Linked DNA regions of Caenorhabditis elegans. The protein of the gene in region 1 purifies or fractionates together with the protein of each later gene. This does not show direct contact. Each region holds a gene or a part of one and is shown on either strand. Other genes may lie near its edges. The genes, in order: slo-1 and islo-1.

What was found.
Region 2: the proteins of slo-1 (region 1) and islo-1 purify together in Caenorhabditis elegans (affinity purification with western blotting; one study listed by BioGRID). This does not show direct contact.

What each region holds. Positions count from the first base shown.
Region 1 is NC_003283.11:18,483,086-18,498,514, reverse strand, and holds the start of slo-1 (BK channel), read right to left. Parts: upstream 6,210-15,429; coding exon 6,055-6,209; intron 5,385-6,054; coding exon 5,174-5,384; intron 4,969-5,173; coding exon of another isoform or gene 4,924-4,968; intron 3,499-4,923; coding exon 3,380-3,498; intron 3,224-3,379; coding exon 3,121-3,223; intron 2,960-3,120; coding exon 2,848-2,959; intron 2,526-2,847; coding exon 2,203-2,525; intron 1,274-2,202; coding exon 965-1,273; intron 1-964. Other genes in the region: Y51A2D.18 (Major facilitator superfamily (MFS) profile domain-containing protein), read left to right, coding at 11,402-11,609, 13,164-13,306, 13,367-13,608, 14,036-14,143, 14,489-14,624, 14,829-14,912, 14,958-15,058. UniProt on the Caenorhabditis elegans protein: Potassium channel activated by both membrane depolarization or increase in cytosolic Ca(2+) that mediates export of K(+). Its activation dampens the excitatory events that elevate the cytosolic Ca(2+) concentration and/or depolarize the cell membrane.
Region 2 is NC_003282.8:8,132,973-8,148,401, reverse strand, and holds islo-1 (Interactor with SLO-1), read right to left. Parts: upstream 12,014-15,429; 5' UTR 11,805-12,013; coding exon 11,802-11,804; intron 11,570-11,801; coding exon 11,452-11,569; intron 11,042-11,451; coding exon 10,837-11,041; intron 10,631-10,836; coding exon 10,315-10,630; intron 9,961-10,314; coding exon 9,830-9,960; intron 9,779-9,829; coding exon 9,478-9,778; 3' UTR 9,310-9,477; downstream 1-9,309. Other genes in the region: Mitogen-activated protein kinase pmk-2, read right to left, coding at 71-220, 271-475, 560-656, 706-777, 1,106-1,220, 1,272-1,349, 3,249-3,360, 3,866-4,054 and 2 more; Mitogen-activated protein kinase pmk-3, read right to left, coding at 5,602-5,678, 5,760-6,366, 6,540-6,687, 6,733-6,842, 7,141-7,225, 7,276-7,421, 7,905-8,156; isp-1 (Cytochrome b-c1 complex subunit Rieske, mitochondrial), read left to right, coding at 12,362-12,403, 12,622-12,678, 12,726-12,843, 12,888-13,031, 13,076-13,137, 13,183-13,438, 13,491-13,567, 14,172-14,246; sph-1 (MARVEL domain-containing protein), read left to right, coding at 14,855-14,929, 14,986-15,104.

The DNA.
Region 1 (15,429 bases):
ATAAAAATTTGTGTTGCAGACACAAAATTCAGGCATTTAGCAATATTTTAAGACAAAAATAAGAAGAAAATCTTAAAAACTGCCTGAGATATGGATCTCAGACAAAAATTTTCAAAAAATTTTCCGGAGCCTGGCGACACTGTGGGAACATGGGACATTCTGAGACCAATTTTATTCAAAAATTTGTTTTTTTCGTAAAATTTCCTTAAATTTGACATCCATATCGACAACAATCGGTTTATTTCCGTTTCAGGCCTACATAGGCCCGAAATCAGCCCGAATTCGGCCTAATGCTCAAGTTTTCATAATCTAGTGGCTATTGGTGACAAATTTTAATAAGTTGCAGTAGTTTTCACAAAAATCACGCTGATTTGACACCAAAATTGGGCAAAATATCAATTTCAGGCCTACCAGGGCCTAAACTGGCCCAGAATTGGCCTAATCCCAAAACTTTCAGAATATAGCCAATGTGGATGTCAAAACTTGGTTTATTATCAAATCAGTTTAAAAATTTGACACCCGCTCTCCAAATTTGCGATTCAGGCCTTCATGGGACCGAATTCGGCCCAAAGCCCAAGGCTTAATAATCTAGTGGCTATGGGTGGTAAATTTTAATGAGGTTCATTGGTGTTCACAAAAATAACGTTGATTTGACAACAACATTGACAAAAATTTCGATTTCAGGCCTGCATGTGCGCAATGCCGGCCCGAATTGGCCTGAAATCCACATTTTCAGAATTTATCCAATATGGGTGTCAAATTTACGGAAATTTTGTAAAAAATTTGTATATTTTGCTTAAAAATTGCCTAGGAGGCCAGATGTCCCAAAATTGTCCCCACAGGGGTAACTTTTTTAAAAGTCGCATAACTCAGTCAGTTTTGAAGGTTTCTACTTGATTTTTGATGCAACTTTTTAAAATTTTTGCGTTCTTTCAGAAAAATTTAAGCTAAAAATAAAGTGTACCTTGACTCTGCTAAGATCCAGAGAATCCATGACAGTCCCCGTGAAAAATTCGACTTTTGTGAAATGCCGCTTAAACAAGCCTTCCAGCTCCAAATCCGGCACGACACGATGCAAAAACACCACTTCGACATCCACGTCATCACGGTCCTCGTGTAGGAAATCTTGAAGAAAATGGGACACCGAATCGTAGGTGATATGGCCACAGACCACTATGTGCTTCTTCCCGTGCTCTCCTTTGTACTCCCCACCGTATTTTTGCCGGTTTCCAATCAAATCGGCAATTTCTGGTACGTAACTTGCAAACATGGCCTGAAAATTGGAGAATTAGTGAAAAAATCAAAAAATTCGATGTAAATTGAAGGATTTTGAGTTTGTCCCCACAGTGTCGGGGACACTTGGGTACATCGGGTACACAGGACAGTTTTACCTAGCAAAATTGAAATCTCCGTGAAATTTCCGTTTCAATGACACCCATATTGACTGTGTTCTGAAAAGTCAGTTCAGGCCGTTTTCAGGCCGATTTCGGGCCTAAATAGTGTTGAATTTTGAAAAATTGTGATTTCGGGCAAAATGGGTGTTAAATTAGCAAAATTTTTCAAAGCAGAAAAGTAATTTTCAGTTACATTCGCTAAGTTCCAAAAACCATGCTTTCAGGCCATTTCCAGCCCGATTTCGGCCATAAATAGGGTTGAATTTTGAAAACTTGTGATAATGGGCAATATGAATGTTTAATTAGCAACATTTTCCAAAGGAGAACTGTAATTTTAATTCACAGCCGCTAGGTTCCTAAAATCATGCTTTCAGGCCGTTTCCAGCCCGATTTCGGGCCCAAGTAGGCCTTAAATTTAAAAAATTGTGATTTCGACCAATATACGTGTTAAGTTAACAACATCATTTAAAGAAAAATGTTATTAACCCTTATAATAGCTAAGTTCCTAAAATTATGTTTCAGGCCGTTTTCAGGCCGACTTTGGTTCTGAATTTTGACCTGAATTTTGAAAAATTCGGATTTTAGGCAAAATGGGTGTTAAATTATCACATTTTTTAAAAGGACAAAAATAGCTTTCAGTTACACTCTCAGGCCGTTTTCAGGCCGATTTTGGGCCCAGAAAGCCTTAAATTCAATTTTTCATAATATAGTCAATATGGATGTTAAATTAACGCAAATTTTACAGAAATTTCAATTTTTTTACTTAAAACCTTTCAAAACCAGTAAAATTTTGAAAAAGAAAGCTCACCAAACCGAACAGAATGAAGAAAATCATGAAAAGTCGGCCGCAAAGCGTCGTACAATAGATATCTCCATATCCGACAGTAGACATTGTGACCAGTACAAAGTACACAGAGTCCGCATAAGTGATTCTGTGCGGATTTATAAATCCTTTGAAGAAGTCCCCAGAATTTTCCAGTAAGTGCACCAAGCCGGCTCCAGTCAGACAAACCGCCACGAAAATTGTGACCAACTGTGTCAATCGGATTGATGAAGATGTTTTCAGGATGTTGAGGTACTGTAGAATGTCGGGTACGGTCATGAGGCGAAGAGCACGGAGGAAACGGAATCCTGGAATTTTTTGAGTTTTTGAAATTTTTAAAACTTGAATTTTTTTTCGATAGTTATTCAAAAATAGTTATCCGTGCGATTTTAAGATGATTTCTGAGTTTGTAAGCATCAAAATGACCCCCATATCAGCTGGGTTCTGAGAAATTTGAATTTTGTTGCTTGCGTCGCGGTCGCGCGTCGCGTATTATCCCCAAATTTCAAGTTCAACCAAATATAGCCGATATGGGTGTCAAATTGAAGCTTAAAACATCAGGAGTTCGATTTTTAAATGGGAAAATAAAAAATCCCAAATTTGTTCGAATATGTGTCCAAAAATGCTCACCGAGCCAATTCCTCTGCAAGTAAATTGCCACGAAGCTTGGCGGAATCGTGAAAAAATCAATCCAGCTGTACATTTCAAGCAGAAACCAAACTTTGTCGGACGCGGCGATGAACTGAAATGCATTTTATTTTTTGGAAAATTTTGGAAAAGTTTTTGAAAAAAAAAAAAAAAAAAAAACGTTTTTTTTTTCGAAATTTATCAAATTTTAGCTCAAGTTATCAGAAATTACATGAAAAAGTCAAATTTTTCCGGGAAAAAAGTGTGAAAACTTACTCTAATGAAAAAATAGACGAGAAAAAATATGTTGAAGCCCAGGTCGATTTGTTGCGAGGGACTGTCCTGCCACGGGATGCACGTTTCTACTTGGAAGTTTTGGCTGAAAATTTTTGAAAAATTTATGAAATCTATAATAAAGTTACTATTTTAAAACTATTTTAAAACACATGGAAAAAAGTTTTTATAAAAAAAAAATTTTTTTCGAAAATTTTTTTTCGAAATTTTTTGCATATTTTTTTTAAACACTCAAACTCACAAACTAGCGTCGTAAAAATAAATAATCAACGATCCAATCGATAAAATGAACACCAAAAGTACCAGAAACCGTCCCGTCAGACTTTGTCCGGATATCAGCTCGCCAGCCCAGTCCTTGGCCTGAAAAATTTGTGAAATTTAGTTTTAAAAATAGGCCAACAAATAATGTGTGGTAATTCTCAACAGGTGTAGGCTACATCAAACTCACTCGGTTCTAGTTTTCAGGGGATAAAGTCCGGAGAAAAACGCTAAAACTACAAAAAACTTCATGTTTTGAAATGAAAATTGAGATTTTCGGAAATATAATTTAATTTAGAGAAATTTCATTGTGAAATTTGAATTTGTGACGTTTCCAGCTTCAATTTGACCCCCATATTGACTATGTTCCGATAAGTTTGAAAAATTGGGGGCGCGGCGCGGTCGCGTCGCGTGCGCAAATTTAGTTGTTAAGTTTCAGTGTGAAAAATGAGTTTTTGTAACTGAAATATTGATTTTCAAGTGCAAATAATATTTATTTATGAGTATTTATTTTGGTTTAACTAGGTTTTGACGAATTTCGCTTCAAAACCGCGACGCGACCGCAACGCAAGCACCAAAAATGAAACTGCTCGGAAACTAGTCAAAATAGGTGTTTAATGAAAGCTGACAATCAGAAGGTTGAAAATCACAATTTCAGACGTTGAAAATTCAGGAAAATTCCAAAATTTTAGAAATTTGGAAAACAATTATTTTTTTGAAATTTTTTTTTTGAAAACTCAAAACCAAACAAAGTCTAATATAACCACACACCTTTAGTTTCAGAGAACAATCCCATCCATATCTACCAAAAATGAAAATAGTCCCGAAAATAAAGTGTGAAAAAGTGTGGGCGGGTGGTGGAGAAGTGCAGCTCCACGTGGCCAAAAAGTGTGCAGAAAAAAATATGCAAAAATATAGAGAAAAATCGGGTTTTGCTGGTCATGCAAATTTCCACATTAACACGACTTAACATTTACGATAGGGAGAAAAGTGTGAAAATTTAGAAAATGCACCCCTGTGGGGACAAATCGGGGACATGGGTCACTTTGCGAGACTTCTAGTTGAAAAATTCGAATTCTCCGTAAAATTTGCGTTTCAACAACCCCCATATCGATCATATTTGAGAAATTGGTAATTTTGGCTTAATTCGGCCTCAAACGGCCTGAAACGGCCCGAAATCATTGCATATTTCAAATTTGTCTGAGCATAGGCAATATGGGTGTCAAAATTTTGGAAATTTCACGGAGTGTATGAATTTCCTGTTGAAAATGGTCCCGGAGTGTCCCATGTCCCAAAATTGTCCCCACAGGGGTTCATTTTTGTAAAAATTTTTTTTTTTTTTTTTTTAATTCAGCAAACTTCAAATAATAAAATAAATAATAAAAAAAAATGCGATAACTACAAAAGCAAAAAAAAAAACATTTCCTGAAAGTTTTCGGAAAAATAGAAAAAATGCGGGGTAAGGGGGAACATTTTCCACATTTTCCATAAAAATCAGTGAATTTTTCAGAAAACTTTTGGACTTGCCCTGCGGTCCCGAATACTTCTGTAAAGCTGCATCGCTAGAGAATCCTAAAAATAAGAACAAGCTCCGCCCACTTTTTTCGTGCATATTTTTTTCGGTTTTTTTTTTGAAATTTTTTTTGTTGAATTTCATAAATTTGAAAAAATGTAGAAAATTGAAAATAGACAAAACTTAACTTAAAATAAACAAAAATTAGGCGGGAATTTGAATTTTTTAGGTATTTTTTTAAATTTTTTTTGTTCAAAAACCCACTTCTGTCATCCATCCCAAGTGTTTTTCCTCTTGTTGCTTCAAAAACGGGTCGGTTTCACTTGGCGCGTGCTTCGACCCGTTCATATTTATTTGGACGGCTTCCGGAGCAGGTATGGGCTCCACAAACTCTTTTTCTCGGCGTTGACAGCACAGGTGTGTCACCACTCGCCATATTACGACCAATATCATTGAGGCGCAGAATGTGGTGATGCTGAAAATATTTTTGTTGGATTTGGAAGAGTGAGAGCTTTAAAATACGCCCCATATTGGATAGTTTTGGAGGCGTTTGAGATTTTGGGTGCAAAGCGGTCGCGTCGCGGTCGGAATTTTTTTAAAAACAAATTTTTAATATTGTCTATCTCTGACACTTTTAACTTGATACTTTGAGTTTGTGGCTTCATGAGCTTCAAAATACGCCCCATATTGGATAGTTTTGGAGGCGTTTGAGATTTTGGGTGCAAAGCGGTCGCGTCGCGGTTTCAAAGTTTCAATTTTGAGAACAGACCATTTTGGCCTGTTGAAAATGAACTATTTATGTTGGTTACGTCGCTAGCTTCAAAATAAGCCCCATATTGACTGGGTTTGGAGCATTTTGAGATTTTGGGTCACGCGGCGAGGTTGCGTCGCGGTCGCACCACTGTCAAAAGTGTTTACTCTTGCTTTGAATTAGTTCATTTTGAATTAATTTTCAATAATTTTTGAAGTTTTGTAGTTAATAAAGCCTAATTTTTCAAAATTTGACAATTTTAGTTTTCAACCGCGACGCGACCGCGCCGCGTCCGAAATTTAAAACTACATCAAATTATATCAAGATGGGGGTCAATTGAAAGCTGGCAACCTCAGAAATTCGAATTCACTAGTTTCAGCTCAATATTCCTTACCTGCTCAGTAAAAAACACCAATATTTGCGCTCCTCCAGGCACTTTCGATCTTCTTCAGTCATCTCCATGAATACTCGACTAAGGTTACAATTCATCGGGTATCCATATGGTTGATTGAAGCCCTTCGACTGCGAAGGCGAGTAAATCTCGCCCATCGTGTCGACGAAGGGTCCACCCGACGGCTTTCGGCGAGTCTGAAAATTTTTTGGAAATTTTTTTTTGTCTCAAAAAAAAAAAACTTTTCCCAAAAGCCCAAAGAAGTTTAAAAATCTCATAAAATATGCTCATTTTCTCACGAAGAAAAATGATGTCATCACCAGAAACTAGTGGTGGTGGGGACAAAAAGCGGAAAAAGTAGTGTGTAGAGTGAGAAAAGAATTAGGTCGGAGCAGCGAGGCCTTCCCTCCCGACGAATAAATGAACATAATGGACCAGTTAGGCTGGAGAAAATAGTAGAGACGTAGAGCGTGCCTAGACATATCTGTCATTTTTCCTGACAAACTCCCCGGAAATTTCACGTATCCCACGTATTTTTGACTGAAAATGTCCGGCTCTGGGGGACATGGTGCATCGAGAAAATCGGGAAATTTTGAAAATTTCTATCAATATTCGACTTTTAAACGCAATCTAGGAGTAAAAAGCCGCCTGAATTTGACTTCATAAATGGCTCAACTTCAATTTTAAAAAATGAGTTATTTGCCAAAAAGCCTAAAAAAAAAAGAACATGGTACATCGACCAAAAGCTCAATTTCCTCAAAACTCCAGATTTATAATAGGTATATTTTATATTCTGGTTTTTCGATGGTAAAATGCCACAGGGAGCCCCGCCATTATTCATCGAAAACCAGCAAAAAACTTGATGAATTGCTGTTCTGGAACACAAGTTTTGGAAAAAAATAAATAAATGAACAACAACTTTTTTTTTGCTTTTCAACAAAAAATTTTGGCGGGAATTTCAAATTTTTTGAGAACAACATTTTGGCGGGAAATTTGAATGTTCTGAGAATTAATGTTGGCAGGAAATTCAAATTTTAATAATTTATAATTTATAATTTTATAATTTAGGAAAAGGAATTAATGTCTGAGAAAATTGGTAGGAAATTCAATTTCACATTTTTTCAGAAAAATTTCGGCGGGAAATTCAAATTTTCCTAGAATTAATGTTGGCAGGAAATTCAAATTTTAATAGAATTAATTTTGGCAGGAAATTAAAATTTCTGAGGAACATTTTAGAGGAATGTTCAAATTTCCACAGAAAAACATTGGCGCAAAATTCAAATTTTCTTACAATTAGAAAAATTTTGGCGGAAAATTCAAATTTTTTGAGAAACATTTTGGTGGGAAATTTAAACTTTCTGAAAAAAATTTTTGGCGGGAAATTCAAATTTTCTCTGAAAAATTTTGGCGGTAAATTAAAATTTTTCTAGAACTAATTTTGGCTGGAAATTTGAATTTTCTCAGAAAAAGTTTGGCGGGGAAATTCAAATTTCCTTAGAATTAATTTTGGCGGGGAAATTCAATTTTTTTCAGAAAAATATTGGTGGGAAATTCAATTTTTGCAAACAAAAAAAAGTAGATCAAAATCTAAATTAAAAGTTGAAAATTTATGAGAATTAGAAAATTGAACACATAGTACTTAATGGGTTAGTGTATGGAGCTGGAGAACGTGTGTGTGTGTGTGAGTGTGCAAAAATATCAAGATATATGGAGGAAGGGGGAGAAAAGAAGAGTTACACTACACATTCTCCCCCCTCCTCTCTTCTCATCCCCCTCCTCAACCTTTCTCTGGCTCCCCCTCCCTCCCTGCACAGAGAGATGGATCAATACACCCCTCCGTCCGTCCGGCAATAGCAGAAGCTGCTGCTGCTGCTCGTGGTGCTCCGCGAGCCAGAAGAAGAAGCTGAAGCATTTGGAATGCGTAAGAGATGTGTGTCTGCGTCTCCAACGACCTCATTTTAGGAGGAGAAGCTGCCTGGAAAATTGGCGGAAAACGGGAGGGAAGGAACTTTTTTTGTTTTGGGAATATTCAATTTAACATGTTTAGGCTGGGGGAACTGGAAAAAATATTTTTTTTTGCGTAAAAAATTGATTTTAAAAAATTCAAAAATTGAAAAAAAAAATTTTTTTCAAATTTTTATTAAATTTTGTGTTTTCTGAATCACATTTTTCTTCTGATTCCAAAAACATATCTTTAACAGGTCTCAGCAAAAAACTAACCAAGTTACGACCGGTTTTGCACACCAGAGTGAGGAGGACGCAGAGAAAACAGACACTCTAGCTGTCTGCGCTCTCCACTCTCTCTCGTCAAAAACGTCTGTGACTAGATTTGTTTTGTAGTAGAAGCGACGAAAAATATAATTTTTGAGTCAGGAAAAAAAGTTTTGGATAGGAAATTTATTTTTTTGGATTTTTAAGTAAATTTTTAGAAATTAAAAAAAAAATGTTGAAACAATTTTTTCACATTTTTTATTCAACTCACTATTAGATATTTTCTGAATTACCCTAACTTCCTGATTTCAAAAACATATTTTTCATAAGCCCCAACAAAAAACTAACCAAGTTACGGGCGGTTTTGCAAACGAGTGTCTCGTTTCTCTGCGCCCTCTGCTCTCTCGCCTAACTCGTTCTGTTTTAAAATACGATTAATAAAAAGTAAAGTTTTGAATTAAAATCAAAATTTTGGTTCTTAAAACATAAATTTTTGGATATTTAAAGAAATTTTTTTTATAATTTCTTTTTTTATAAATTTTTTATTTTTTTTATAATTTTAAAAAAAAATATAATTTTATAATTTCTGAACCGCCTAATTTTTCTGATCACAAATATTTTTTCCTTATATTTTTAGCAGCAAAAACCAAGATACACGCGTTTTTGCACGCAAAGACGAGAGAGTGGAGAACGCAGACGGGCAGAGTGTCTGCCTTCTCTGTACCCTCCGCACTCTCGCCGTAATGTGCAAAAACGACCGTAACTCGGTCAGTTTTGTAATGAGAACGGCGAAAAAGATATTTTTGGAATCAGAACAAATTTAGGTTTAGAAATGGGATAGGCTATTCAAAAATTTGGCAAATTTAGAAAAAAGATTTTTTTTTTGAATTTGAAAAAAATCTTAAAAATGCTGAAGAACATGAGAAAAATAGAAAAAAATAAGGAAAAACGAGAAAAAGAGAATTATGAAATTCAAAACCGATGTGTGGGTATCTGTGGTACCCCTTCTACCCCCTGTCCAATGAGATGCAATATGTTTCGGGACACTGACACTTATCCAGATTCTTTCTTACACAGACACATTTCGCTGATCTTTTGAATTTTGGGACGGAAAATTATAACTTTATTGGAAAGTTTTACACAAGTTTTACACGGGAAACAAAAAAATCTTTTTTTTTTTTTGTTGAATATTAGATTTTTTTAAATTCTGTTAGGTCTCCAAATAAGTTCCGGGTCAAAAATCATAACTTTCTTCGCCTTCTATCGATTTTTTTGAAACTGTGGGAATTTTTGTTATCAACCATGATCTTTCATTAAAAAAAAACACAACATTTTTTTACCACCCGGAGTGCCCTAACTCGGAGCCAATTTTTCTAGGCAGTCAAGGCTTGTGTGCGGATTTTGCTTTGTTTAAAATACATTGTAAGAAAACAACAAAAGTTTGGAAAAAAAATCCGTCCAAAAAAATTTTTTTTGGTAGGTCGTCAAAAAAAAGTTCAAAAAAATGTTTTTCGAAAATTTTTGATTTTTTGTACAAAAATAATGTAACCATGTGTAAACTATTTTTACACATACAAAACTTTTCAAATTAGTTCGATACACTAAAATGATAATAGAAACATAATTATTTCGGAGAATTTTTTGAGTTTTTTGAGTTTTTCTCGAGATCCAAAATTCAAACTGAAATGCTCTATATGTGTAAAACCGGTATACACACATGGTTACATCATTTTTGTACAAAAAATCAAGAATTTTTGAGAAAAATTTTTTCAACTTTTTTTGACGACCTACCAAAAAAAATTTTTTGGACGGATTTTTTTCCAAACTTTTGTTGTTTTTTTACAATGTATTTTAAACAAAGCAAAATACGCACAAAAACCTTAACTCAAAGCTACAAAGAAGCGAGGTCAGAAAAATGCCTGAAAAAATTGGCTCCGAGTTAGAGCACTCCGGGTGGTCAAAACATTTTGTGATTATTTTAAAATGAAAGATCATGGTTGATAACATAAATTCCCACAGTTTCAAAAAAACCGATAAAAGGCGAAAAAAGTTATGATTTTTGACCCGGAACTTATTTGGAGACCTAATAACAAAAAATTGCCAAGTTTGAAGATTCTTTGTACAAAAAGAAAAAGTAATATTCTAAGCTTTTTCAAACAAAAAAAAAGTATAGTAGAAAGAGTAGTAAATGCAAAAAACTTTTTTAAAATTTCAAAAAATGGTTTTATTATTCATTTTTAAATACGTTTTAAAATCAAAGGTGGCGTAGCCAAATTTTTTTTCAAATTTATTAGACTCAAAATCGTCTGAAAACACCGAATTTCATAATGAAACTTCTCGAAAACTTCTCAAAAAAAGGTTATGAAGGATTAAAAAAAATTGCCTAAAATTAGTTAAATTATAAAATTTGACCGACTTTTCAAGCGGCTGGAAATTAATTTTTTTGAAAGTGCCGTCAAATTTATTTTGAGTATACAAAACCATCAACTTTAAAATACATTTATACCCAGAAAATTAGAGGGTGATTTCAAAAATATTGTTTCCAGCCGCTGCGGCATTGACAAGTAAGCCAAATTTCAAATTTTTAGTCATATATTTTTTTTTGAGAAGTTTTCAAGAAGTTTCATTATGAAATTCGGTGTTTTCAGGCAATTGTGAGTTCTGAAAAAAATTTTAAAGGTGGTGTAGTCTAATTTTTTCTAATAAAAAGTCTAATAAAAACATTTAAAATTCGACTACACCACCTTTAACATTTTTTTTGTTGTAAGAACTCAGAAGAAAATCGATATTCAATATTAATGCACCTAAACAAACTCAATTTCCACCCAATTTTTACCCAATTTTCCACGGAAAAGGCCTAATTGTTTGACCTCCGACCAATCTCGCCATCACATCAGTTATCAGTTGAATGCCCTTCAATGATATATCAATTAGTAGATCACCCGAAGAGAACCTGTTTGAAAATGATTATTTGGCAGGCAGGAGACGGGGGTGATAATGATCATGGTATCGAAAATTTGATTTGCAGACGATTAATGTTTTTCTGAACTTTTTTGGAAAAACTTCTTTTTTTTTTTAAATTTTTTTTGAAAATTTGTATTTTTCAAAAAATTTTTAAACTACGAATACTATTATTTTAATGTCTTCTACGTCGAGTAATTCATCAGAAGACTCTATAAATCTTCCTGAAAATGGAGCAAAACTGGAATTTCTGGAAAAAGAGCCCGAGCAAGTGCACGGGCTCGACGACTATATTCAAATGGGCAAGTATGTGCTCCTGGTGTGCTTGGCCGCAGAATTATTGATTTTACCGCAAGTATCGTCTATGTTTTATATGATGTATGCAGGTATTGATTTTTTTTTGAGACTGCAAAACTCTTGAAAATTTTAGAAAATTGTTGAAATTTAAATAAATTTAAATGTTTTTAAAAAAAATTTCCAGAAATTTAAAAATGTTCTAGAAAATTTTTTTAAAAACATTTTCAGAAAAGTTTAGAAAGTTCTAAATTTTTTAGAAATTGTTAAAAAAGTTATCTTAAAATTTTTGGAAAATTCATAATATTTTAGATAGCTGTTGAAACTGAAAAAATTAAAAAATTAGGAATTGTTGCAAAAACAAAAAAAAACCGAACATGTAAAGAAATTTATGAGCATTTTTCAGAAAATTTTAAAAAGTTTAGGTAACTTTCAGGAACATTCTAGAATTTTTTCACAAGTTAAAAAAAATCAGAAAATCTTAGAAATGTTAACATTAAAAATTACTTTTATTAAGCTTTTCCAATTTTTACATTGTATATATTTTATTTTATATTTCGAAATATATTATTTTCGAAATTTATTTTTTTTTCGAATATTTTCGAAATTTAAGTTTTTGTAGAAAAATCTAGAAAATTTTCATAAAAAATCAGTATTTACTAGAAAAATATTTAAGGAAATCTTACTAGGGAATGACCAGAATAAGTGGAGCGATATTCAAAAAAAAAATATTGTATCGGAAAGCTGACATTCTCTACTATAAGAATATGACTGAAATTTTTGCCCATTCGGGCTGGAAACTTTTCAGAAATTTTTATTTTTTCGAAAATTGCCACTTTTTTCTCCACCAAACCCATGCGAAAATTTGATCCAAAAATTTTTTTTGAAATTTTTTCAAAAATGTATGAAATAATGTAGAGTGTCACAAATAACTTATTTTTCATTGTTTTCAATGACCGAATCACTGATTCTGATGCCGTATCAAGACGTTTTACCAAATCGATATTGGAAAAACACCTTGTCTTTGAGACTCCATATCTCTGCAGGAAAAAATCGCACTAAAAAGTGATCAACTAAAAACTTGTTAAACATAATGTAATCTAAAACTTTTCAGTAAAACACTTTCTTTTAAAAAATTTGGTTGCCGAGTTGGGACCAATTGATTTGAGCTTCATTATTTTTGAATATTTTAAATAGTTAAAGGTCTATATCTTGGCAACCAAATTTTTTACAAGAAAGTGTTCAACTGAAAAGTTTCAGATCACATTGTGTTTAACAAGTTTTCAGTTGATCACTTTTTAGTGCGATTTTTTCCTGCAGAGATATGGAGTCTCAAAAACAAGGTGTTTTTCCAATATCGATTTTGTAAAACGTCTTGATACGGCATCAGAATCAGAATGGGCAAAAATTTCAGTCATATTCTTATAGTAGAGAAAGTCAGCTTTCCGATACAATTTTTTTTTTTGAATATCGCTCCACTTATTCTGGTCATTCCCTAGTTAGATAAAAAATCCGAAAAAAATATAAAATTTCACTGAAATTTTTTTTTTCAGAATTTGATAAAAATTATTGACATTTTTCATTTTAAAATTGCAAAACCAATGTTCCTAAAATTATTTCAAAACCAGAAAAATCAATATTTTTAGGTGCGGCGCCACGTGTCATCTCCTGCGACAATATCGTATTCGACAGTCTTCTGGAGGGCAAGGAAATATGCTTTGAGCTGGATAAAATGGGAAATTGCTCACATCCCGAGTTTCAGTACCAGTTTAGGAGTATTAATGTGGAGGTAAGAAATTTTTTTGGAGAAAATTGCCAGAAATCGATAATTCGAAAAAAAAAATTTCAGTACAACTATTTCTGCAATACTTCAAAACTGGTGAAAAATTCAATTTCCGTCCAAATGTTCGGAGTGCTCACCGGATCGATAGTTTTTGGGCAAATCAGTGACTCGTTCGGCAGAAAAATTGGCTCACAGGTTGCATCTCTCGGAATGTTAATTGGTTGGCTCATAGTGGTGCAGAGCCGGAACTTGCTCCATTTTACGATTTCCAGAACAATCGTGGGATTTTTCACAGGTGGAAGTATCTCGTGAGTTTAGAATAGGAGATTGTGAATCAAATACTTTTTGAAATTTGAAAAAAAGTCAATTTTAAGCCGAGTTGTGAGGGTTAGAAGATGGTGGCCTAGAAACACAAAAAAAAGTTAGGCCATCACTTTTTTCATGAATTTTGAATTTTCAAACCTTGCTTATCACACTGCTCTTTTGAAAATTTGAAAAAGTAGTTTTTAGGCCAAACTGTGGGGGTTTAAAGTTGGTGGCCTAGAAAACCAAAACACGTCCCTCTTCATAACTTAGCCAATAGCTAATCGATTTGGCTGAAAAATTCAGAGCATACAAAGTTTGATTAGCGTTTTCAGAAATGATGATAAAAATTGTTCAAAATAATTTTTTGACATTGGTGGCCTAGAGTTCCCTCCGCCCCTAAAAGTTAGGCCACAAAATAATTCTTTTCAGAATCATAAACGTTTTCATTATGGAGAACATACCGAAAAAGCATCGAATGTGGATTAACATGGCAATCACGTGGTCTCCAAACATGCCGATATATTCATATTTTGCGTGGTAAGATTTAAAAGAGGCTCAATTTCCATGTCCTAGAATTTCTTCAGTTTTGCAAAAGTTCGGCCATTGCACTGCTTCCCTATATGTTTTTATGCGTAAACATATTTTTTTTGTGTAGTCCTGAAAGTTTCAACAAAATCCGACTATTTCCCGCAAAGTTATGGCGGCGGACGAGTTTTGGGTTTCTAGGCCATCAATCTAAAACTGTTGTAACTGGGTTGGAATTTGACGGATTTGGCTGAAATTTTAGCCGTATATTTGCAATTTTAATGCTAACCAAATCAAAATAAAATTTTTTCGAAATTTTGGAAAAAAAAAATCGAAAATTTTTTTTTGAAATTTTAGGTTAGCCAGCGACTGGAAAAGCTTAGCCTACATCAACGCGTTCATGTGTATTCCGGGAATCTTGTTCTTCCAATTTTTCATCCACGAGTCGCCGAGATGGCTTGTGACACGTGGCAAAATCAGCGAAGCCGTGCAGGTGAGCTTTGGTGATTTTTTTTTTGGTTGGAAGTGTGTTTCTTTCTCTGAAAAGTTTAAAAAAAGTTTAAGTAAAGGTTACAGTAGTTCGTGAATATTTTTTTAAAAAATTTTGAATAAAAAATTTCGAAAATTTAAAAAAAAAAAAAAATTTTCAATTTTTTTTACAAATTTCAATTATTTTTTTCAAAACCAATAATTTCAGGTCCTCCAACGCCAACTTAAAACCTCCAACCAGGAAAACCTAATCCACGAAGATTTTGAAGAAAACTTGCGGATGGAATATGCGGTAAACCACTTTAAAAAAATTGCCAAAAATTTTCAAAATTTGCAGAAAACCCAAGCTCAAAACACTCGAAAAACGAAATTTTCCTACTATCATCTGTTTGTGACGCCGAAATTGGCAATTACCACAATTGTGCTGGCGTACAGTTAGTAAGTATTCGAAATTTCTAACTTTTCAGGTAAATTACTAAAGAATCGAATGTTTTTTTTTCAAAAATTGCTTTAAAAAATTTGTAAATATTTTTTCCTAAATTCTAAAAAATAATTGCAAAAAATTCAAAAAATACGAAAAATTTTTTTATTCAAAAAATCCAAAAAAAATTCAAAAAATAATGTTAAAAATTCGGAAATTTTTTATTTTAATTCCAAAAAAAATTCCAAAAAAATTACAAAATGTTTTGAATATAAAAAATCCTATTTTTTTTATTCGAAAATTTACAAAATTGTTTATACTTCAAAAAATAATGCCAAAAATTCGGAAATGTTTTTTCCTAAAAAAATAATTCAAAAAATTCCAAAAA
Region 2 (15,429 bases), on another chromosome or scaffold:
GGGAGATACAATATAGAAAAAAGAAAATTCCACAGTTTTGAGATATTTTAGCACTTGAACACATTTGACTTCATATTTTCATTGGCTCTTCTTCCGTATCCGTACAGCTTACAAAACTTAGTCTTCGTGCCGAGTTTTGGAATAATCGAATCTCATTCCAAATTAACTCTCGCCAGTCGGATAACGTTGTTGCTCGTTCTTCAGCTGGATCAATTGTGACCTAACAAGAAAATTGGAGTACTTTTAGAGAAGCGAACTTAAATTTCGTACTATGCTATTTATTACCGTATCCATTGCAACTGGTTCATCATTTGGCACAGAGTATTCACGAAGATAGTCATGACGAAGAGCACTTGATACAGAAATTCTTCTGTCCGGATCCAAAATTAGCATCATTTCGAGAAGTTCGAGAGCATATGGAGAAGCCATTGGAAACAATGTAACGAAGTCCTGACGGATAATTGGAGAACGATTTCTGAAAGATTTTTGCGTAAACGATTTATTTTTTTTTTCAGTTCTAGTCTAGTAATTGAATTTCAGAAGTATTTGCAACACTAACTTAATATAATTTCGAGCTTCTTCTGATTGAATTTTGGACCAGAATTCTTCTTTTGGGGTACCCACAACTGACATTATCTTTGTTAGCTGATCAATATCTGCAAATTTTAAATATTTAAAGTATTAGAGGAATAGAATAAAACTCACGATCATCGCCTGGAAACAATGGTCTCCCGGATACCAGTTCCGCAAGAATACATCCAACTGACCAAACATCAACTGAAAAATTCAATATTTTGGTAACATTTTTAGAAGTAAAAAAAAATGATGTTTTTGTTTCATGTGATAAATATATCAAGTTTTTCGTTTATTTGAAAAAATAGGAAGTTGGAATAGAGAGAGAATTGCAGAAACCAGAAATACCAATATCAAGTCAAAGTTTATTCTTCATATTTTCACACGTTTTAGCATAACTACAAGAAACAGGTGAAACATGCTTTCAAAATGTCAGAAGTTAACCTCAAATCATATGATATTTAACAATTTAGTTCAAAGATTTTAGGTGACTATTTAAGTGCATAGAAACCAATTTCTTTTATTTACTCACCAGTCTGTGTATAATGCATCCAATTGAGCATAATCTCTGGAGCTCTGTACCATCTTGTTGCCACGTATCCAGTCATTTCGGCGTCTTGAGCACGAGCCAATCCAAAATCGAGAATCTTGAAAAATGAAAGAATTAGGAAAGAAAGTTGAGAAAAACTAAGAAAAACCTTGACTTCGCATCTCTCATTGACAGCAATATTCGATGGTTTTAAATCGCGATGGATAATCCCTGCCGAATGGATATACTGCAAGAATAGGAAAATATTTGAATGTAAAAGAGTATTAGGAGAAAAAGATCAAAGAATTTTTGGAAGAAATATTTGAAACAAAGCTGTTGTAAGATTTAACCAGCCTAAAACGTGTGTTTCTTCTTTGAAAAGGATGCATTAATTTTTTCAGAATAATAGTTGAATTGAAATTTTGGTGACTCATGTACTGAAGCGTTATTTGCAACTGTTCACATCAAACTGTTTAGATTAAAAAGTATTTTAATGTTCAACAAGTTAAAATCTGTTCTTATAAGAAGTTTTCCCATTCTCTGAAACAGAAAATAAATTTAAAAGCTCATATTTTAAATATATTACCACAAAACGCAAAATTCAATGTTTTTTTTAATTTTCAGATTGAAAAAAGTTTAAAAAGCTTTCAAAAGATTTTTTTTCAACAAAAAAAGAAAAAAAAAAGAAGTGTGTACTATGTAAACAATAGTCTGCCAGCATACCACTTTTATCATGAAAAATGAAACAAAACCGTAGTAGAATTGAATGTGAGGAAACTTAGAGAAAAAAGTCAAAAAATGGATAGAAAACAGCCTGTGTTTAGCCTAATGTTGTATTTGGCATTATAAAGGAGACAAGGTGTTCATCGATCACTATTTTATGAGATAGTACACGTGATTGAGATACGCAGGAGGTTACACAAATGGTATTGCATAGGTCACGGTATATAGAGTGAGAGAGTGGAATGCAAGGTAACTCTTGTTTTAGATTTGAACGTATGTCATTGGAAATATATTGTATCCAAATATCGGATAAATGCGTGTATCTTAAAAACAGATACAATTTCAGACAGAAACCAAATGTTCAGATTTCCTTGTAAATAAAACTTAAACGTTTGAGCTGGGCATTCTAACGATCTTCAAGTTGAGATTTTTGTTATGAGACTATTTCACATTAATGGAATTATCTTTAAACATTTTATGTTACCGAAAATCACATTACCGGATCGGGAAAAAATATGGAATTTTATTGAAAAGCATCGGGTTCAAGTATGAGCAAATCCGTTACCGTACCCTGGAGTAAGGCACTGTCTTACGGATAGAAAAAACTTTCAAATGTCAAAACTCGAAAAGAAACTACGTTTTAAATTCTTTAAAACTGTCGAAATGCTTCGAAATCACAATTTATGGCAAAAAATACGAAAATGCACTCTTCTTTGAATTCATTCGTATTCTGTCTAACAGAATGAATGTTCCATGTAGAACCTGTCACATTCATATATCATTTCTGCGTATTTGGTTTTCCATTTTAACTCAAGAGAGAAAACGAGAAAAATTGAGCTTTCAACTGGTTTGTCTAAAATCTTCGGATGTAATAAGAACTACGAAATTAAAAAAAAAAGTTGTGATTTATATTTTCATTCAAAAACTAATCTGTCGCATTACAGTGAAACTATAATTTTTCCATAAAAATCACTTTTGAAGTGTTTGGAAAAGCCGCTGGAGCATAACATTTGAAGGCTTTTCAGTGGCCGAAAAAAGTGGCTTTCTACATTCTCATCTCTTGACCCGTGCCTAATCGAAAAAATGCATCTATCAGAGAGAAAAAGGAAGAGAAAAAAGAATGAAAGGATGGAGTAATCGTCTTCAGAATTTAATTAGAAATTGCAGGAAAACAAGATGCAGAGACGCAGGCATCGAAACTGGGGAAAAAGTTTGAGAACACTTAAAAATAATTTATTCTGAAAATTCCCTACTGTTTTTCTATTTTCTGAAAACTTGTTTTATATCTCTCATATTGCCTTTCTAAAGCAAATCGTATTTTGTGAAATATGAGTAAAAACCTGAGAAAATACGAGAAAAGGAGATACGAAAATTATAGGGTTTGAGTGCTGACATAACCAGAAATAGGGAATGAAAATAATACCTTGAGCCCACGTAACACTTGATAGATAAGCAGTTGGATTTGTTCATCGGTCAGTCGTTGGATTTTCATAATATTTTGTAAATCGGAGCCCATCAGAACGGATACGAAATATCTGAAATTGTAAATTCGTCAGATATTTAGATTTTTGGATTTATTCGAAATTTCTTCAGTATTTTTTGAAGCGCGCGGAGTAGTGTCAGTAATTGTTGGAACGACTAAACCATTTCAAAAAATTATGTCATAGTATTTTAACTAAAGATTTGATTTCGTTTCAAATTTTTCAGAAGCCCCACTATTTTTCAAAATTTGGCAAGTTACCGAGCCTGGCTGAATAATTTCCGAAATATAAAAAAGAGTTGACAGATATGCGTTGAATTCGTTGAAATCCGCAATTATTCACTAAAAATGAAAATATACTATTTTTGTATTTGAAAATGTTTTCATTTTTTGAATTCAATTTTATTTTAACTTTATTCCAGTCTAATCTTTTCAAATTCTCAAACTTTTTCTACCTTGTTCCGGGTTTTCTATTCTCTCATCATCTAATCCTCTTTTTTCTCAAATCCCTTAAATATTCTTGAGAAGCAATTTATTCCCCTAAACAATCCGAAACTCACACATTATTCAAAGAAGATGCATCTGGATCTGGTGTGAATACATCAATCATTTCCAATACATTATCATGTTGTAGAGTTCTTAGAAGTTTCAGTTCCCGATAGGTTCGTTTTGCGTGAATTGTACTTTGAAATGGGCGAAAGAACTTTTTAATTGCAACTCGATCTCCAGTTGGCTCATATTCTGCTGTGCTACAAAAAAATGTCAGATTTTAGATATATCTCAATTTTTGTAACTTACCATACAACTCCATACGCTCCTTCTCCTAGAGGCTTCAAACTGTTGTACCATTGAGGTAAGACCCATTTCGTTTTGTTTAGTTCGACCTACAAATAATCTAACTAAAAATTGCAATGAAATAAAAAAGGAAAATATGTAGTTGAATTTATAGTTTTTTTTTATTATGAATTTATAGATTTATAGTTTTTGACAATTTATATTTATTTCCAATGATATCACCATCACATTATGTCTCATATCCTATGATCTTCGTGAATTTTGTAGTTATTTTTATTTTGGCAACTGTAAAAATGGAGTAGCGCAACAGGGAGAAGATGATTAAAAAATACTTCCATAGTGCAAAAAATGAGTAATTGTGTTTTACTTTTAAGAAAACATTGGATTTTTTTAAAGAATTCAAAAAAAAAAAAGGAATTCAAAAAAAAAATTTTGGAAGCCGACCAAAAAAAATCTCTCCTGACTTTCGTTATAAAATCATTTTTGTTCAAGTGATTAAAAAAATCTTAATTTTTTTTTCAAATAGTCCGCAAATTTGGAAATTTTCCAAAACTTTGACTAAAAATGATGAATAATCTAAAATTAACTCATTGGGTTTTTGTAATTTGCAAAATTTCTTTTAGCTCATTCTAGTATATTTAGACAATATTCACTACACTATAAAAAATCTTCTTCTGTAACTATACCTCATGATATCCTTCTGGAGTAATCTCAGGCGGGGCAGGACCAAAATCGGCAAAAAAGACACCGGGAATGCTGGCTGAATCGCCCATGGTCGCCGACATCCCCATCAACAAGACATCTAGAAAAAGTTTGAATTGAATTTGTAAATATAATTTTTACATTTTTGCACGAAAGTTTTAATATTTCGAAAAAGGGCAGACAATTGCCTACATAGGTATTCCAAAATAATAATTCAATCTTATTTCACATTTTTTAAATGTTTGAATTTTTCTGCTAATTGAATAAACGTTTTAAGCTGAAGTTCAGGATTAACTTTGTCAAGTCAAACTATGCTTTTTATATTAAAAAAATTCCAGAAATTTTCAGATAATCTCACTTTAAACATATAAGCTCGTGTAAAATATGAGTGACACGGATTAGAACCAATCTCTTTTTTATAAAACACTTCAAGCTTTTAAAACGAATTGTCAAAAGAAAATAAGTTTATTGAACTAATTAGTATGTGTAAGGGTGCAATGACAAGAATGACGAATATAAAAAAATATGATGGGATAAAAGCATGAGAGAAAAACGAGACAAAGAGATTCAGAGAAATGGAGAAGTAAAGAGAAAGAGAGAAGGAGACAGAGACATAAAAGGAAGAAGCTATAGAATGCAAGAAAATAAATACTCTGAAAGAATTTGAAAGAGAAGATGGAAAACATCATTATCACCTGTAAAGTGTTGCTATCACTGAACGACAAAGAGACGAGAAAGAGAGAGGGAAAAGAAGTAATACATTTCCGGAATTATATACAATTAATATAATTGAATGAAATCAGCGATCTGCTTCTCCAGGGATTAACGGTGATGAGCTGAGTCTTTTGTAGTTCATTATTTCCTTCCAGACGGCATCTGTAATAAAATATTTTTGCATTTGTTGTTTTTCAAATTTGCAGGTGTGCAGAATTCTATTACGTGATCTTTGAGCCTTACCTCTCCACTCGAATCTTGTTCTAGCTTGAGAGTCATCCAAGTCAAATATATGATCAGCTCTTGGTTCATCTTCTGGAAGTGAAAACTCTGCCAAATATGGATGTTGAATAGCTTCTTCCACCGTAATCCTCTTCTCTGGATCCAAAACTAAAAGCTTCTCAAGTAGATCAATAAAGTCTTCTGATGGATTATGAGCAGAAAATACATCACGGAAATTTCGACGTTTGTGAGTTGTGTAGGATTGAATTACGGCTTTAATTGCAGACGAGTTATCATTTTCAATCTTTGTCAAAAGTTCTTCATCAGGACTTCCACATAATTGAGTAATACGTTGATATTGAGCATTGGGCTCATCACCCGGAAACAGTGGTTCTCCAGTTAAAAGTTCTGCAGCAATACATCCAAGTGACCACATATCTGCCAGATTTGTGTAACTATCAATCTTCCAATAAATGACTTCTGGACTACGGTACCATCTTGTTTGTACATATTGTGTTAGAGAAGTATCTTTCTTTTCCAAGGATCTTGCAAGTCCAAAATCGAGAATCATGAGGTCAGAATCATCGGTCAACGCGAGATTTCCTGGTTTCAAGTCACGATGTATAATCTAAAAAATTTTAATAAATATATTTTCGTGTTTTAGTCATGTTCTTTTTGACTAATTATGGCCTAATCGTGCCTAATCCTCCTATATGAAATTTTATTTAATCTAAAATGCTGATATTTCTATTAAAAAAAAAAGAATGAGCAATGTTCTGTTCACTAACTCCATTGACTTACATTAGCAGAATGAATGTACTTAAGTGCACGTATGATTTGATAAATGATGAATTTGATATGCTCGTCGGTCAGCACGCGCCGTCCATAATCTCTTTGTTGCTTCAAGATCTGATAAAGACTACGACCCGCAAATTCAGTGACAACGTATCTGAAAATTATAGATTGTTTGTAAAACTTTTTTGTAATTACTTACACATCTCGAAAATCGTTTTCCTCGTCAGGTGTGTAGATGTCAAGAGCACAGATGATATTGTCATGTCTCATTAATTGAAGAAGTTTTGTTTCACGGAAGATGCGACGAGCCTGGAAGTTTAAGGTGTTCAAAGGATGTGATCGACCAAATATATTCTCAAAAATGGGTATAAAAACCAAATATCAGCTTTTTGAAATGTTCTTCTAAAGTTTTGGCAATTTTCCAACAAAAAAAAAGACGAAAACAGAAAACAAGATTAGTTTTAAAATTCTGGTTTTGCCCCAAAATTTTGAATCACCACTTCTTGACTGTACATAGAAAAAGTTCGAAAATTTTTAATACGATATTAGTTCATTTGAATTGTAAAAAATATGCTCTAGCTTCAATAAAAATGTATCTTTGTCTTACATGATGTGGATCAAAGAACGGTTCTCGCATCTTCTTTATTGCAACATAACGACGAAGCCCGTCACGGCACACTGCACTTGTTTTTCTGGAAAATATAATCATTCAAATAAAGCACACAAATACTGAAAAACATACATAACATTTCCAAACGAGCCTCCACCCAAATACTCAATGCTGTTTGGCTCGACGTCATAGCCTTCCGGAATTGCAAATGTAATGTTACGGATCATCACAAATTGGAATCGTCGTTTGTGTGGACCACATGGTTTTGAGAGAATATCCTGAAAATATAATGATGATTAAGATTTTGGAATACCTATGGTTGCAATATTGTCAACAATGTTTATTTCTGTAAAGCTAAATTTCTGAGGCATTACATAGCCAGTTTCCTATTTGGTTTGGTCTCTAGTACACGTGCCAATTTTATCATTTGGAAATAAGACGGCGCAATAATTTTGTGTTGCAATTTTTGTAGAAAAAACTTCTCAAAAAATGAGCTATGCGTGCGCGGGGTTAGATTCTTCTGAAAATGTCAATTCTAGTCAATTCTACAAATATTAAGCTAGTTTTGAAACTTTGACAATTATAAAAAAATTAATTATGGAATGTTTTATTTCCATCCTTTTTAGAGTATTAAGGTCGATTTCTTAGATTAAAGTCATACTGAAGCTTTACCTTTATCATTTTTATGATTCTCCGCATATCAACAAAACGCGCGGATTGACTTTCGTCAACTTACGAAATCTAAAATCTTTCTCCCTCACCTCTTCCTCCTCCCCAACCATCTCGTTGTTTCCCGTTGCTTCGATACTCTGCTTCTTAATATTCTCTGCAGCTAACTTTTTCTGTTGTTCCTGCTCTCGTTGTTGTTGCAACCAGGTGTTGGGTTCGTAGCTTTCTGGAGGTTGAGATTGATTATTACTTCGTTTGGTTGGTGGTGCACTTGGTGTTGACACGTCTTCATGACGACGGACATGCGACACTGGGAGACTAGATGACGATGGGACTGACGCCATCTGTAAATTTAAATGGGTTCAAGTTAGGGCTTGAAGTGAAAAAATCAATAACGAAAAGCGTTGTCGGGGGAAATTAGAGGAGTGTCGGGGATTTCAAAATGAAAGTTTTATTGCGAAACACGCCATGTAAACTCGAACACTCAAGCGACCTATATTTTTGCGGAGTGAAGTGTAAAAATTGTGAAACAATGATTTTTTTATTGTTTATGGTCACTACTTTGTTTTCTTTTGGAGGTTTTCGGATTCACTATAACTTTAGGAAATTCGATATTTTAGAAAATATTAGGAATTTTGAATTTATCAACAAAAAAATCAACTCAATCAATGAAGATTAAATAGAAGAATTTCCCATAGTTTTGGCAATTACTAACAATATCTATTTACATTTGAACTGTTAGTAATTGTTCTCTCGCAATTTTTGTAACGCGTACTTAAAGACACATGGATATTTTTGAATTGGGTCTCAAAGAGTCAGATTTAAATGTTATTCGTTTTTGTCTATTTTTGTGAAATTTTCAAAATATTTTTTCATTAATTGTGGAATGGAGGGATCATAAAAAATTCTCAGAACTTTTTCTGATGGCGAGACCCATAAGAGGAATTATGCAAAAAAGGTGCAAAACTACCATGAAATTATGTAAAAGATTCGGGTGCTCAATCAATTGTAATTAATAAAATCGGTGAAATACTTGTGAGCTCAGTTAAATTGAGATGAGCACTACAGTTTGTTTTATATTTTCTTGTTTATTTACTGAGTAGCGTCTCTTTGAATTTCGTAAAAAAGTGTACAGTGTTTGTTCGAATATGAGCAATATTTAGGTTCAAACAAAGTTAATTATAAAGGGTAAATAATATATTTCATTTCAATTTTAAATTATCAGAAAATTCGTCTTTTGTTCAGCGCTCCACTATTATGAAGTTTACCAAAAACAAAATATCTCACCTGTTATTATAATAAAGTTGTAGACTAGACGTTCCTGTATTGATTGATTTTGAGTATATGTTATGATAAAAATACTGGAGAAAACTGAAAAAAGACGGAAGTATAATTATCAGTGACCAAGGAAATTGGAAGAAACAGTGAGGTCAATCAGATATGAGTCAGCAGCGATTGAGACGCAGTGAAAAATGGGAAACGAGAGGAAGACATACAAAGGGCGAAGGTCGAATTTTTTATTTGGTTGATGGAAAATATTATTGTAGATAAATATTTTAAAATATCTACAAATTATTCATCTCCTTTTCGGTTGATCTTTGTGGATACAGAATTTTGAAATTAAAAAAAAACAATATAAATCTGGTTAACATCATAAAACAATGTCTATATTTGACTATTTTCTCTCCTTCTTGATCTTCCTGATCCTTTGCTTCGATTGGAGTTAGTTCGATGTAAAGGTCCCATTGATTTGGATCTTTTTTGACTTGAAGCTTCACTTGATTGTCTTCTACTTGCAACTGACGGCTGCCTTGATCCTAACCGATTTTCCATTATTGAATTCGTGTCAAGGAATCCAGATTGATATCTTCCAACGCTTGTAGCTCTTAGGGTATTATATGGACTTGCTACAAAAATGTTATTCGGAGATCGTCTATGAAGGGAAAGTGTGGAACATCCAGGAATTCTGAAATTATAGATTTACAGAATCTTGTTCCGGTTTGAATGAAGTTCTTACACTGGTGGATACAGTTTCTTTTCATCGTGTGGCTTAACTACATTAGACATTGCGTGTCGATTCTCAAGAACTGGGTACGCAGGTGGAGGTAGAGGTTGATATGGATCTTTCTCAAAGATCGGAGGTAGCGGCTGTAAACGTGTAACAACTAAAATGGGTACATTTTGATTTTGAATTGATACGCATTATTACCTACATTCTTCGTTCTAGTGAACTGTATCTAAGCCTTGTAAGGTTTCAAACACATTGCTGTTTCGGTTAATTTGGCAATTTACCAAAACTATGCCATTTTCAGAAATCTAAAATGTTTTAATAGTTTTTTTTAAATTATGGTACGATCATTTTGAGTTTGTTTAGACGTTAATTTGTTAGCTTTAATTGTTTATATTACTTTCATGAAATTTTCAAAGGTGTAGTCGCAACTTTTACAAGGACATGTGGGTTTCTAATTGAATTTGAATTTTCAATTAATCAAAAAGACTTACCACATAATGTGTTGTAATAGTCGTAAGCCTAGCAGGATCATTGTGCTTCTTTGTGTGGTGTAACGAGAGATCACAGAGCTTTGTTGTGCATAAAAAGTAGATTAATGAAATTATCAAAAACGAACATCCGAGTCCAAATAAAATAGGACCCGCAATTTGAATTGGTGGTGGTCGTATTCTTTGTTCGTATGGCCAAGTCCAGAATGGTGAAGTATAAAGGTATTTATATCCAAGAAGTGACATTAGTAGTCCTCCAATTAGGAGAAAAACGCCGAATGCTGTACAACAAATCAATGATGACGAGCCACGAAATTTTCTTTAAAAAATAATGCTTTTTTCAGGGTTTTTTTTTAAATTTTTGATAAAGTAACTTGATGTATATTTTCTGCGTCTCTGTTGAATTTTCGCGTTGAATATGATGTATTAGGACATACTCCATTAAATTATAATCTACGAGTTATTTAGTTGAGCTATTCAACCCTCATATTTCCAGCTTACAGTTTCAATTATCAAAAAACTAACGATGTTCTATATGGAAAAAATCCAAATGTTGCTGGATACAATATATCCCATCCTTTTGGATAATAATAGAAATATGGATCACGTTGAGCCATTGGTCCAAAATGAAGAACTCTTTGATTTCCAGTCCATTGTTGAGGATCAATCTCACTTGCACCAGCTTGAACCATTTCGTCTTTCTTATCCTTTGCAGTTACGTGAAGCTTGTCTTTAATATTTCGAAAATATTTATGAGTTTTTAGAATCAAATTGACATGAAAACCCCTTATATTTAATACAACAACTCTATATTCTGTGCTACATTCAGTACATCGTGGTGAGACCCATAAAGTCAATTTAAATTACTACTTCTCAGTATTGCTTTGATGGTTATAATTACTGTAGCTGGTATCGATTTATGGGCCGCTTGTACCATATTCTTTGAATTTTATTTTAATTGTAATTTTTAAAAATTTTGTAAGATGTCCGAAGATTTTCAACGACCTGTTAATCGATACCATATTACAGTAATTCGTCTTCGTGGCAAGACCTTTGTGTGTAAAATATAGGAAAAATCATCATCTTTAGACGTCTACGTAATATCCTTTTTTTAAAGCAAATTTCCACACAAAAACCCACTCTGAGCTCTCCGCTTCCGCTTTTGATGTGGTCGTTCAGCTTTGGATCCGAAGAATAAATGTGTGCGGACGCGCTCTTGATTCGACGGTGCCGCGCCGCGTCCTCTTTTACTTCCCATCTGAAACCAATCAGGTCCGGAAGAAGGAAAGGCTAAACTTTTCGGCACGACTCGATTGGACCTTGATTACAACTCTTTGAGCTCGTGCCGCAGAGCAGTATCAAACAGCCACATCTTTTCTCTCAATTTATTTTTCTAAATAGTTTGGTGTGTCAACTGGAGTGTTGGTTGTGGCAACAGATGTTTTCGTGGATTTCCTCATCGTGTGGATCATCTTTTATCAAACACTTACCATCTTGAATAATTATTTGAATAAGAAAATCTAGAACTGAATATAAATTGTATTATTGAGCAGGAATAAAAATAAAAGCTGGACGACTTTCTGTATTTTTCATCCGATTCACAGCTGGTGGCGGATATCTTGTCGCCGAGTGTTGTGCGGGCAAAACGGCCTCTAGTACCCGTACCCGCGTCATTATTTTGAAATTGAGATGCTGCTGTCAACGATTATTACAAACGAGAAGGAATCTCTCGTCTGAGCACACGGAAAAGTCTCTATGCATGTTCGCCCTATTGACAACGATGCGGAGGGCGACGCGTGCCGAAAATTTCTCTGTGTCTCTTCATACAGACAGTCCGCCCGTTGAGTTTGTCCCAATTTTAGCCTTTTTTCAGCTTTTAATTCTTTAAAATTCCAAATTTCGGCAAAATTCATCAATTTGAAAACGTTTTATTCAGTTGTTCATTGCCTTGATCTGTTAATTTAGCCGTTCTCATATTTTAAAAATTGTTTTATTTTTTTCAAAAACTTAAAAATATTTAAAATAATTATTTTAGGCATCAACTGGGGCAATGGCTTCTCTTGCTAGATCTGGAGGTTTTGCAGTCAAAGTGGTAAGTATTTTTTGAACAAATATGAAGAAAAACACTCCAATAATCTATTCAATTCGAGAAATAATCATATTTTGCGAGAAACGCGTTCGAAAATTTTGTTTAAAATGTATTTGTTTAAACTATTCTCGTTCCAAAACACTGGACGGTGTCGAAATGATTAAGATATCGATTACAGTTCTAAAATTTTGTCCAATAGTTTATAAATAGTTTTCTTTCAGATCAGCGGATCCCAGCAACATGTAAACTTTGTTGCCGCAACACCAGCCGCCGATAATGTAAGTATTTAAAGTTGCAGAATATTATTTTATTGTCTAGTATCCAGGTCGCTGCTTTCCGCGATGTTCCAGCTGAGTTCTCCACGGCTGAAGCTCGTCAAGCCGCTGTTAGTCACAGCACCGGAGGTGTCTTCACCAATGGACTTGCTGTCAAGGGAATCAATGGTATTTGAAATTGAATTTAATATATTAATTCATTAATTTTTAAGTCACCTCTCGCCGTTTGGCTCACACTGATGTGACATTCCCCGATATGTCAAACTATCGTCGTGATTCTACAAAGAACACTCAAGTGCCAGCCCGTGACACCGAGGATCAACGTCGTGCTCTTCCAACTGCTCTGTATTATGGAGGTTCGAATTATTTTTTATTCGGTCTAAACATTGTTTTATTACAGCTGGAGGAGTTCTATCTTTGTGGGCCGGAAAGGAAGTTGTACAGACTCTTGTTTCTTACAAAGTATGTTGAATTTCCATTACACCGTTTTTAAATTAATTTTTCCAGGCTATGGCAGCTGATCAACGTGCCTTGGCTTCGATCGAAATCAACATGGCTGATATTCCAGAAGGAAAAACAAAGACATTCGAATGGCGTGGAAAGCCAGTCTTCGTCAAACATCGTACCAAGGCTGAGATTGCCAAGGAAAAGGCCGTCCCTGTCGCCGATCTCCGTCATCCACAACATGACGACGAACGTGTGCAGAAAGATGAATGGTCCGTTGTCATTGGAGTGTGCACCCATCTTGGATGTGTCCCAATTGGTATGCAGTCTTTTTTCTCCTGAATTTTTGAAATCATATTTTGAATTTTCAGCCGATGCTGGAGATTACGGAGGTTATTACTGCCCTTGTCACGGATCTCACTACGACGCTTCTGGACGTATTAGAAAGGTAAGACATTTATTTGCTAAATGTAGTACAATCTGAAAAATTCAAATTTTATAATTTTTTTTCATAATTTATTGAAGAAAAGTTCGCGATTTGATATAATTAATGATAAATTGTAATTTTCTCTTAAAATTTTATAAAAAGAGAGATAATTTAAACAAAAACAAGAAGATATCTTCTGGAACGAACGAAAGTTCAGTCCTATCCTAACCGTTATTACGGTAAATTTTGGTATTTCTTAGTAAAGCTTTTGATAATTTTAAATAAATACCTAGTTTTTACAGTTTCTTTTTTTTTATTAAAAAAAACGGAATAAAAGAGTAGTAAATAAGTTCGCTTTTTTTGATGAAAATCAGTTTTTTTCCGAACGTAGGAAAAGTAATTAGACAATTCTTTTTTGAATTCCTAATTATTTACGTGAAAATCTTTATCATAAATTAAGCTCTCAGAATGTTGAAAATTTAAAAAAAGTTAAAACTTCAATAGCGGAAAAAAGTGTTTATATTTCTAAATTTGACATTAAAAATGTTTTCAAGTCACCCTAACGTTGATAAAATTCACAAAAATGTAAAGGTGATCTTTTTTTCAAAATCTTCATTTTTTCCAGGGACCAGCTCCATTGAATCTTCACGTACCAGCATACTCGTTCAAGGATGCCACCATCGTCATTGGATCGAGCTAAATATTCAGATTTTTTTGCAAAAGTTTCCCCGTCCCCACTTTGAAAACTCGCGTCTCCTAATCGAATGTGTGGTTTTCTCCTGTGAAAGTAGTTGTTCCCTTCTTTCTACGTCGTATTCTTGGCAGATAAAGTTTATTTTTCGTCCTATTTAGTGTTTGCCTGTTTTTATTATTTCCCCGTTTTTATCCATTTTTTCTAGGATCCCGAATGCACTCCTGTTCGAAATTCATTGCAGAATGAATAAACGTAATTTAAGAGGTTCTCTAGATGAGGCGGAGCATAACCAATACAAATAACCCACTTGGCAAATAGAACAGTCATGGCATTCTCTGCGTCTCCTAAACATCGCTGTCCTCGAAAAAATCGGCACTTGATCCACAGAGGAGTCACAGTCGAGTAAATTGTCTCGTTTCTCTATGTTTCTACAGTAACATGGTATCTCTTGTAATAAATAAGTTTTCTCGTTATCAAAAAGAGAACATGACACAGCAAGCTCTCTTTCTCTCTCTCCTTTTACGCACTTTTGTTGTTATTTTTCGATATTTCATCAGTTTTTGATTTTATTGATCGATTCCTACGAATTACGTCTCAATTTTTCAGACGAAAAAATGCCTTCGATTCCTGCACAATTAAATATATCTGCATTCAAATTCCCATTAGGATTTATAAGAATTATTCAATTTGTAAGGAAAACTTTTGAATTTCTTTTGAGAGAAAATTCATTTGTGATTCTTTTCAGGTTTTCATAATCATTGCGATAGCCGCTATTAACAGTTGGGGATTGGAATTGAATTACCACTGTGTTGATGGAACGGGTAATATAACGAGAAATAGTACACAAAAAGTCTACACATTTTCGTAAGTTTCACGAATTGAATATGTAATTTCAAAAGCTTAATTGAACTATTAAATTTTAGAAAATACCGCACCCGGTCGACACGACAATGCTGTGTCACATACAAATGGGTGTGCGCCTTTAAAGAGTACTGTAATTTCAAACTTTTGTTGCTGAGGATTTTTTATCGATTTTTCGATAAAATTATATTTATGTATAAAAAAATTAAAGATAAAAATAGAAACACTAAAATTGGAACAAAATTAAGGAAAACTACGAAAAATCTACGAAAATTTCATAGCAACGAAAGTTTGGAATTACAGTACTCTTTTAGAAGGCGCACACCTG